Linked DNA regions of Drosophila melanogaster. The protein of the gene in region 3 interacts with the protein of the main gene of each other region in a pairwise test. Each region holds a gene or a part of one and is shown on either strand. Other genes may lie near its edges. The genes, in order: Tim9a, CG1416 and SdhD.

Region 1 (3,340 bases), on a different chromosome or scaffold from region 3:
TCACAGAGGCAGAGGGCTTTCCGTCGGAGGCCGCCACCACGAGTCATTGAGCCGATTGAATATACAGCCGGAAAACGGGAACCACGCATTGGCGAACCTTGTGTAGCCCTAAGTATTGAGTAGATGGCCACAGGCGATGGCCTCTATGCATTAGACCTAGATTAGAGATCGCCGTAGTCGGCTCCGGTGTTCGGGATACCGAAGACCGATATATCGGTTGCACATCCGCCACGGAGCACATGCGACTACGGCCCTGTCTTAACGTGACTTAAACGTAATTGTAGGCACATCTAGCACGTAAGCAGCTGCGGCGCCCAATTCTACCATTTAAATGTCATGAGGCTGAAGTGCTAAAACGAAAAAGATGGGCTGCTACTCAGCTGGAACATATTCGAAACTGATGATCCACACTTGTCTTTTTCAAACAAGATCTCTAGGCCGTAATCAATCAGCAATAAAGTACCACAATAATCGAATAGTAGATAATAATCGTCGGGATTCCGTCAACGCGTTTCTTTACTCAGCTATTTTGACAAATGCAGGAAAATGCATCATCTCAGTTGTCTAAACTAGTTAAGATTGTTTGTAACAGCTATAACACCTAAAGTTTGCCAGTCTTTTGAGCCATGGCCAGTGCGTTCTCGTGGGCAATAACCTGGAACTCCTGGAAACGCTGCGAGACGCGTTGGTTCATCTTCAGATACTTTTCCATGCAGTTCAGCGAGCACTTCTCCTGTGAAATGGATGGGCATATTGAAATCGCTGATTTCCACATGGAGCTTCCCCACGGGCACTCACCTCGGAATCCTTAACATCCCGCGTTGTAAAGTCGCGTATGCAATCTGTGAAGCACGTCTCGGACAGTTTGTTGTAGGACATTAGGAAGTCGGAAAACTGAAAGTTAGAACCGAAAACATATCAAATGAAAACCACATTGCATCACTTGGCACCGCCGGTCCTTGGCATGAGATGGTATCTTCGTGTCAACTCTGCTTACCGTCTTAATTTGATCCTTGTCCAACTGATCGATGGCTATGTTTTCCGGTGTCTTAGCCATTTTGTTCTGCGATATTTTATTCAAAATTGCCGAAACGAAAAAGGGCCAATAATAATGTGCCTATATAATAGGGACAGCTGGGTGTGCAGGGTTGCCAGATGTTAAAAAGCCATTCCGTGTTCTCGACTTATCGATATGTTATCTTTTGAAGTATGTTATGTGAAGTATCTGGTTCGGCCGACTCAAAAATTAACCACATCTAGTTTTACTCTTAACATCGGGTATATGAAATTAAGCAAATGTATCCATACATAAATTAAGGTATATTTATAATAATACTTTAACTAAGTACCCTTAGGTTGTGAAACATTTAATTTAAACTATTAAATAGAATAAAATGATATTTCAAAGATCGATATTCCTATAAAATATCGATAGTCGCATATCTTATGGTCAGCGCTTTACGGTACTGCACCTCGTTCACTTTTCAACACTGGAGGGCACGCCATCTTTTTTTCCTCACAAACACTTTTTTCTGCTCCTGCTTTGTGGGTGTGCTCTTTGAAAAACCAAGGAGAATTCCCTCGGAATAGCATCAAAACAAACTGGAAAATTGACTTTGGACAAGTCCAGTGGTACAACAAATACCAAAAATCCATTACAGAACCGGAGGAGCAGCACCTCCAGCCACATACATATTCATACATAATGCCACGCTACCGTGAATGGGATTTAGCCTGCAAAGTTTACGTGGGCAATCTGGGATCCTCGGCCTCCAAATACGAGATCGAGAACGCCTTTAGCAAATACGGACCCTTGCGCAACGTCTGGGTGGCCCGCAATCCGCCCGGTTTCGCCTTCGTCGAGTTCGAGGATCGTCGCGACGCTGAGGATGCGACCCGTGGCCTCGACGGCACCCGCTGCTGTGGCACCCGCATCCGTGTCGAAATGTCATCAGGCCGTTCACGAGAGGGTCGCGGCGGTGGCGGTGGAGGCGGCGGTGGTGGAGGCGGATCCGGTGGCGGCGGCCGCGGCGGTGGCAGTGGCGCCCGTGCTGGAGGCGGTGGAAGGGCTGGCGATGGCGGTGGACGCTATAGGTGAGTACGGCACAAAAGCATTACATTTTGCATCCCCAGAATAAACCAGATAAACTAACTAACCAACCAACCAAAGCACCCACTTACTACCACTACCCCTCTCTCGAGATTATGAAATCATAATTTTTGCCATTATGTGCAAAAAAGTATGCAAAAATATATATATAAATAAACATATGTATACATATTTATATAGCGTGTGTGCTTGTGTGTATGTATGCATGTGAAAAATCGATTCGCGTATACATACAAAAGCGGTGCCAGCCAAAATACACACAGTCACACATACGGTGGGACACCACTGTTAGCCATACATAAACACACACAGTGGCGTCCGTGAAAAAGAACAGTCCTACCGCGCGCACACAGTGGCGTCCGTGGCCGACAGTCCTGGTTGCTTTTGCTACGTCAATCGATTCTTTTTAGCTCGTATTTTGTTTTTTAAGGGGAATCTTGTTTTAGTATCACATTTCATTGCTCATTATATGCACCCCGAGGTCCATAGTTTAAAGTTCAAAGAGTATAGCTTTAACTAGAGAAAACGTTTTGTTTGTTGTTTTTAGTAAAATTACAAAATACAAGAAAAATGAAAAGAAAATACAAGAAAACTTAGTAAAAACAAAGTAAATCGATCGCTTGGAGCCAGTTTTAATGTGGTCTCACAATCATTTTGCAGGATAAAGTCTTCTTCTTCTACTACAACAAGCACAACAAGAACTACTACAACAACAACATCAATAATAATAATAATAATGATAATTAAAAGAACAACAAAGAAAAAAGAAAAAACAACAACAGCTACTACTACTAGAACTTCTACTACTCCTCTTCCTTCAACAACAACAACCAAAAGAACAACAACAACAGCTACTACAAGAACAACTAGTACAACAGCAGATCCTGCTCCTCCTATTACACACATTTCACCAACAACAACAACAACTACAGCCACCACTACACCACCACCATGCAATAACAATTTGTTGTGCGGCCCTAACCAGAAATTCAACAAATTCGATATATTCCGCTGACCACAAAACCAAGAACCAGAACCAAACCGAACGACCGCAACACTACCACACCCCCTCCACCACCTGTTCAGCTCAACCCAGGCAAAAAAAAAAAAAAAGAAAAACAGAACAGAAAAAAATGAATCATCAGCAACGTCTTCGGCTCCGCAGCTTCAAGAATAATGCACCCAAAACCAGACCGAACACCACCCACAGTCACCTAACTATACATTCCA
Region 2 (3,756 bases), on a different chromosome or scaffold from region 3:
ACATAAATAGCTAAACTTGCCACTAGCCGCCAGATCACAAATCTTCCCGCATTAAGGAGTTAAAAAACAACCTAAGTAGAAAAAAAAACCAAATTGGTCTGGCTTATAGGTATTCATAAAATTTTATAAATACATATAAATGCACATATGCTACTCAACAACATAAAAATCGACTCTCTTGCCCACTATCTCTCTTCTTAATGTTTTTATTGTATTTTTTTTTGGGATATTTACTTTCGATTATTTGCTAAATTAATTCTTAGCACCAACAATAATTTTACCATCATTTTTATTATCGGTTTATTAAAATTTATATATTTTAAGATTAATCGTTCATATAAAAAAATTCAGAGCCCGTCAAGCCCTCCCTACAAAGGCTCTGGAATAAGTCTAGTGTCTTTGCTCCCTCTCTGTCAAATCACCTAAAAAGAAGCTGGCAAAAACTCCAGACAAAAAGACATCACGAAATTGTTTTTCTGTATACTACAAGTGTATACGAATATGTTCTTAAATCGTTGTTTCCAAAATTAAAAATGTATGTATATATTGATGGTCAATTACCTGTATTTCGAGTAAAAGTTCCTGCTTCTTGCGTCGCAGCTCAATCAGCAGTTTTTGCTGCTCCGGTGTAAGTTCTGCAAGAACGAGATGCGAATCAATAATAAATTCATATACTTGTTTCTGGGCATTTTGTAAATTGTATCGCAACACCAACAGTAAAAATAAAAAACACCAGAGCAGCATTCCAGGCACACGCGCCCAACACACATACACACGTGCATACACGAGCTGTTTGCGATGCGATGAAAGCATCTTGTAGGCTACGTCACTAGCTTAGGCCGATAAACAATTTTCACTTGTCGAAACCACAATGGATTGCTAATTGTGCAAATTGGCTTATTAGCGTTACCAAAGCTCTTCGGACTTAATTCTGACGAAGGCCAAAAACGAGAACGCAATGTACATATGTACATAATATACATACATATGTGCACTAACATTTCACCTAGCACACAAGTCTATACATACAAATGTTGCTTGTTGCTTCTCTTATTTTGTAGTTGTGGGTATCCCAATTTGTGATCTTAATAAAATTTTATCAATACAAAGATTCGTATTCTGTTCATGCTAGGCTATATCCTTCGGGCCAGCAAAAGTATCTGCTGTTTACCTGGCATTGAGAATTCACTGCGCCCCTTTGATATGGCACCGTACGATCTGTTGTCGAAATTGTCCATTGCGCTAATCATCGCGGAGCTACTGAGCTACTACACACACTCTCGCGCACACGACACACACTCTAGTTGTACATTTTTCACCAGCAGTTGGCTAATTTTTAAGGCTTTTCATTGAACAATCAAAGACGAACGGATAATAAACAAATCAACACCAAAAAAATTCTATCGCCATTTTCTTTCAGCTCTCCACTAGGGATGTGCTGAATTCAGCTATCGGTTGAGTAAACAACTGAAAAATAACAAGTGCATGCTGACTTAAGCTGGGTGTTACGCGAGCTCTGTGTGGCCACTTTTAAAATATCCTGATGCCACTGCATCTTGTAACCAAACGTAAGAACTTTTTAATCAGTAGAACTAAAAAAATTAGGGCTAATTATTTACTTGCAACAATACATTAAATATTTTTAGGGGTACACTTTTTCAGAGATTAGAGCAGACCTTATCTATTTCAAGACAAATAGCTTGAAAAGCTGTAAAACAACTTTGTTACATCCATTATGGTGTGATTTGCGGGAATCGGCTATTACCATTTCGAAAATTGTTTGTTACAAGTTAAAAACATAAACTTAAAGTTTTGGACGTACATAAAAATATAACATTAAAACAACCTTGTTATAAAAAAATACAATACCACCAATACTTACTGTCCATTTTAAATCTGTTAAAAAATTCACTGAACGAATACGTCTTTCGTCATAACTCCATTTAAAATATCGTCAGGAAATTTACACATCATTTCGTTTTTTTAACGGCACAAACACCTCGGACTTGGTGGCAACGCTGCCAACATATGTGTGCACTGGCATCGATAATTTTTACATCCCTATTTTGAACCGCAGAATTCTAGAAAATTCCACTCGCTGGCCATAGTAATTGTCCGAATTAGTTTAAGCTAAGACTGCCGGATCAAAAGTAAACCAACATCTTCCATCTTTTCATAAAATTGAAGACAGTTTCATACAATTCTACAGTAAGAAAGCGATGGCCAAGTGGGGAGAAGGAGATCCGCGCTGGATTGTGGAGGAGCGGCCCGACGCCACCAACGTGAACAACTGGCACTGGACGGAAAAGAACGCCACGCCATGGTCCAAGGACCGCCTGCATCAGCTTTTTCAGGATTTCAAAATAGGCGAGTATATAAGAATTTGTAGTAGTGTAGAACATACATTTTAGGTATATCCTAACCTAAAAGTAAACTTCTCAAAACGCAGGGCAAAGCGACATTGAGTGTGCCGTGGACTCCGTGGACAAATGCTCCGGGGAGGCCACCGTGAACAATCGCAAGGGCAAGCTCATATTTTTCTACGAGTGGGAGCTGGTGCTCAAGTGGTCTGGAAAGCTCCTAAAGAACAGCAAGCTGATCCACAAGGGCAAGTTAACCATTCCCAATCTCTCCGAGGAGAACGAACTAGCCGACGTAGAGATCACGGTGACAATCGACGAGTCCAACGACGAGTCGGAGACCCTGAAACAGTTCATGTACAACGTGGGACGAGACCGCGTGCGGCAGCAACTGGCTTCCTACATCCGAGAGTTGAAGGAGGAGTACTCCAAGAACCTTATCCTACCAAAGAAGGGCGACGAGGCCGGAGCGGGAAATACTGTGGCGAATTTTAAGGATGCCAACAATACCCGTAATGCAGCCCAAAATATCGCTTTAAACTCCTCGGTGGCGGCTCCTAGGCTGAAGAACTCTGGCATCGGCTGTAAACTGGACGTTCGCACTCTCTCGATGACCGAAGAATTTCACTGCAGCGCCAATGACCTTTACAACGCTCTCACAAAGCCAGAAATGGTCACTGCCTTTACGAGGGCACCTGCCAAAGTAGATGCCGTGCGCGGTGGAGAGTAAGTTTTTGTCCCTGGTCGTTTTATTTTACCATCACATCAGGACCGTTTGTGTCGTCATTTAGTAATCTTGTTATGAATAACCATAAATTTCGCCCCTCGCCCTTGTCTTCACTTCTTTATGGTAAGTAATCTTTTGTCTTTTATTGTAGATTTATTCTTTACGGAGGCAATGTGCTCGGAAAATTCGAAGAGCTCGTCCCTGAAAAAAAAATACAGCAGAGCTGGCGTCTGAAAAACTGGACATCTGGTCACTACTCAAACGTTGTCATAGAGCTGGAAGAAACTGTAAGTTACTAGGACAACGAAAACTAGATATATTATTATTTATTTTTTTAAATTGACCCGCTTAGTGATCCTGATTAACAATATACGATATAATTTTCAAAGAATGTAGTACTCCTTATCAGTCAATAAATAACGCGTATAAGACCATATTCCTACGGGCCTCTAAATTCGAAATATTTACAAAATTTTATGTGCACAAAGAAAATAGTAATATGAAAAAAAAATAACTTTGTGATTTGTCTATTTATTATTTATTGGTTAAGAAAAAAATTAAATTCGTTACAATACGTCGGATTTAAACTTATGAATGTAATGATTTTGGTTTAGTACATTTTTGAAATTTACATTCAGGTTAAATTCCTATTAATACCTAATTACATTA
Region 3 (3,756 bases):
GCATCGATGAGCATGTGATACTGGGAGCACTGCCCTTTCGCAGCCAGGCCAATGACGTAAGTATCCCCACGGAACCAAGCCTGAAATCCTTCTAAATCCTTGTTTAACCGCTCAGCTCATTGAAAAGGAGAACATGAAGGCGGTGGTGTCGATGAACGAGGACTATGAGCTGACCGCCTTCTCCAACAACACGGAGAAGTGGCGAAAGCTTGGCATTGAGTTCCTGCAGCTGGCCACCACCGACATCTTTGAGTCGCCCAATCAAGAAAAGCTCTTCCGCGGCGTGGAATTCATAAACAAGTTCCTGCCTCTAAAGCAAAGAATTGGTGGCCTAAGTTCCTCCTACCAGCCGGAGAACGTGGGTTCTGTCTATGTGCACTGCAAGGCTGGTAGGACGCGAAGTGCCACTTTGGTGGGATGCTACCTCATGATGGTGGGTTGGTTATCTATTTGCACGTAGCTCTTAAAAAAAAGCTCACAACTTATCCTTTGCAGAAGAACGGATGGACTCCGGATCAGGCGGTTGACCACATGCGTAAGTGCCGACCGCACATTCTGCTGCACACCAAACAATGGGATGCCCTCCGGTTATTCTACACAAACAATGTGGAGACGAAATCATGACCAAACCTGGACAATAGCCCAAATTTATTGTTTACAGTAGATTACCATACGTAACAAAGGTGGTGCCTGTTACCCAACTACTTTAGTGCTGATTTTCTTGTTGAATATACAATTTTCTACAAAACCCGCTCTGTGCAGCTGTGACTTTTTACAATTCTTTATTTAATGCTTATCGCGAAACTATGAATAAATAACTGGTGTTTCGTGGTTCATCAACTGATTGCTCCTTTGACATTTAAGCCTTCTCGGCATCCTTGCCCTTGATGGCCCAGAAGCGCTTGATACCATTGGCCAGACCCACATCATTTTGGATGAAGTAGAAGAGGCCGCCCAGCGTGGCCACCGAGATGATGATCAGCGCAATGTGGGCTACCTTGGGCAGGACGTTTCCAACGACAGATGGCCGCATGTAGTCAACTACCATGGCCTCCACGCCCCTGCGTTTGGTGAATGAGGAAAATATAAGTAAAGGTTTAATTTTCCTCAAGGATATCTTACCAATGGGTGTGGATGACGACAGAGATGGCCATGAGGGCGTCCAATACCTGGGATGGAGCTATGAAGGCAGCTGGAATGACGGCCAGTAGGCCGGCGGACACAATTCGCTCCACAGTCCAGAGCAGGGTGTGGCTGGATCCAGCGGAAGCCATGCGGGGCGCACTCACGGAGATCTCGCGCACGACGGGCTGCATAAGCAGTCGAGGATTACCATTTAGTATGATTAGCCACCACTGAATTTTTCAACTCTAAACACTTACCGCTACAATCTTGGCCACGGCCAGGGGCTGGACCACCGCCTTCCGCTGGACATTGGCCACCAGGGTGGAGTAGCTCTTCAGGGGAGTGATGCGAGCCGACTTAACAAGATTTGCGGCTAATTGGGATACCAACAAACGGTTTGGTTATATAATGAAAGCTGTTTTGCGTCCAATAACAAGGCGATTTGCCATCCAGTGGGTCCTTACCATTGCAACGGACAGCGCCACGCAGAAGCAACGAGAGGGACATGTTGGGATGTGTAAATATTGAGAATTTTCAGCTCAAAATAAAAACTCTATCGCTCCGTTCGGTTTGGGCCGATTTGTCTAAAAAATTACACAGCACTGGGCTAGTGCAGTCAGCTGTCATCGATTTGTTATCGGTAAACAGTAGCGGTCAAGATATTGTCCCACAATAATAAGGGAAGCCCAGTAAAATATTTTGAACTCAACAAACAATTAAAGGGTGTAATAAATAATAAGAAAACATTTAGTTCAAGGCATTTATTTAACTGCTTTAATTATTTGCACAATACATTTGAGATTCGTTTGGGACGGAATGGCTGTTACACGTAAAAATTGTGATGATCTTACAAACTAAGTTTAAAATTTGCTTAAAACTTTCTAAAATTCGCATTCTAAGGCACGCAATTGCTCCTAAAAGTGACTTTATGTTGGTTGTAAAATTTTTGTAAATTTCGTTGGATGGAATAGTTAAAAAATACTTTTGATATTATTAAGCTAATAAACTCCTAACCTGGACTAAGACCACGATAACGAGGCCAGTCAGTTGAAATTTTAGTGTCGCTGCTCCTGCTCGGTAAAAGTCCCAATCAAATATGATGTTGGAGGCATCCGACGGCTTCCAAGGATTCAATCCGTCATCGAAGTGCATGGGACAGTCGTCACGCTCCCTTTCGTACTCCACGGCATCGATGGCTACGGCAGCGCCCTCCGAGTGGTTCCACGAGGTCACATCTTGCTCCAGTTTGCAGAATGCGCCCACAGCCTGCGACATGAGGACACGGTTGAGGTCGGCACGCTGATAGACCCAGCAGCGATACTTGGACAGCGGATCCAAATCGTCGTACGTAATCAGGTAGGACTTGAGGTTCTCCTTCCAGAAGCCAATGCACTTCATGCGGTAATCGGGATCACTGTAGATATCAACGGGACGACCCAAGTGATCCACCGACAGGCAATAGTTTTCATCCACCGCCAATTCCTTTTGATCTGTATCGCAAACCGATAAATCCGAGATGTTTTGCTTGCAATGGATATCGGGACGCGGACTCAGAGTGACACCACCAAGAATTCTGTGAAATATACACATTAATTATACGTTTCATGCTACGATTGCAAAACATTACAAACCTCGTTCTGAAGGGATGCTCTCCTCGCTGCGTAAAGTTGAATTTTCCCGCAACGGGGCAACGAACAGGCACAGGATTTCGAGCAAGAAACAGATCATATTTCCATGCCTCCGAATTGGGGAACTGAACCCAAGAGCAGACTGTACTAAAATCGTCCTTGATCACAGCCAAACCCTTGCGGTAGCGAATGATGTTGTGGTGGCGGGGCATAAAGTCAAAGCACACGTAATCCTTCTGGCAACCGTCGACAGTGAGGCGAGCCATCATCACACGATTACCCCGTCGCTCTCGGCAAACATAGATTGTCTTTCGGTATCGAGCTTTATCCGGATAGTACGTCTCGTTTATGTGGGTCTCACTGATCGAGACATCGGCATCAATGTTGGCAGTGTTCACCCATTCTCCGCTAAAGTTTTGTGGTAGCGTGCAACCGGGTTCCACAAACTCAGCCTTCACTGGCGTCAGCTTTAGACGCTCCGGTGACGTTTCTGGCGTCTTCAGTGTGTTACATTCGGCCGTAATGGAAACGCCCACGTAAAGATCATCGTCACGATTCTTAAGGAAGCAGCGGTACTTCTCATCCTTACGCGACTCCTTTGTGTTGGCCACGGCAAAGTAGTGGTTCTTGCCCACAAACCAATCGCCCAGGCAGCTGAACTCCACGGTGCCGGTGAATGTGCCCTCCATACCCTCGCACTGCTGATAGGTGACGTTGAACTTCTGGTTCTGGATGAGGAACTGCGTTCCTGCCGTTTGACAGGACTGAATGCGAGCGTCGGGCTTATCGCATACGCCCGTGAATCGGAATCGGTTCTATAATAAAAGTTCAAATCAAGATCACTAATCAACATAAAATGGATATGTTTCTAGACCCTTAACTAAACCGCACCATGTGCAAATTATGTGATCTATGAATCTATTTTGATCTTACCTGGTACGTAAAATGCCACACTCCCTCCAGCGACGATCGGCAGTTGATGGGCACAAAGTTCTCGTTAAAG

What was found.
Region 1: the proteins of SdhD (region 3) and Tim9a interact in a two-hybrid assay, tested with the Drosophila melanogaster proteins (one large-scale study listed by BioGRID).
Region 2: the proteins of SdhD (region 3) and CG1416 interact in a two-hybrid assay, tested with the Drosophila melanogaster proteins (one large-scale study listed by BioGRID).

Annotation. Positions count from the first base shown.
Region 1 is NC_004354.4:13,383,054-13,386,393, reverse strand, and holds Tim9a (Tim9a), read right to left. Parts: upstream 1,185-3,340; 5' UTR 1,058-1,184; coding exon 998-1,057; intron 895-997; coding exon 799-894; intron 734-798; coding exon 602-733; 3' UTR 501-601; downstream 1-500. Other genes in the region: Ype (yippee), read left to right, coding at 1-50; Rbp1-like, read left to right, coding at 1,706-2,094, 2,771-3,125. UniProt on the Drosophila melanogaster protein: Mitochondrial intermembrane chaperone that participates in the import and insertion of multi-pass transmembrane proteins into the mitochondrial inner membrane.
Region 2 is NT_033779.5:21,755,993-21,759,748, forward strand, and holds the start of CG1416 (uncharacterized protein), read left to right. Parts: upstream 1-2,017; 5' UTR 2,018-2,219; coding exon 2,220-2,367; intron 2,368-2,449; coding exon 2,450-3,086; intron 3,087-3,238; coding exon 3,239-3,374; intron 3,375-3,756.
Region 3 is NT_033777.3:23,758,863-23,762,618, forward strand, and holds SdhD (succinate dehydrogenase, subunit D), read right to left. Parts: upstream 1,739-3,756; 5' UTR 1,633-1,738; coding exon 1,590-1,632; intron 1,499-1,589; coding exon 1,383-1,498; intron 1,311-1,382; coding exon 1,123-1,310; intron 1,062-1,122; coding exon 860-1,061; 3' UTR 625-859; downstream 1-624. Other genes in the region: PTPMT1 (protein tyrosine phosphatase, mitochondrial 1), read left to right, coding at 1-56, 116-433, 496-624; udt (undicht), read right to left, coding at 2,119-2,698, 2,757-3,568, 3,687-3,756. UniProt on the Drosophila melanogaster protein: Membrane-anchoring subunit of succinate dehydrogenase (SDH) that is involved in complex II of the mitochondrial electron transport chain and is responsible for transferring electrons from succinate to ubiquinone (coenzyme Q).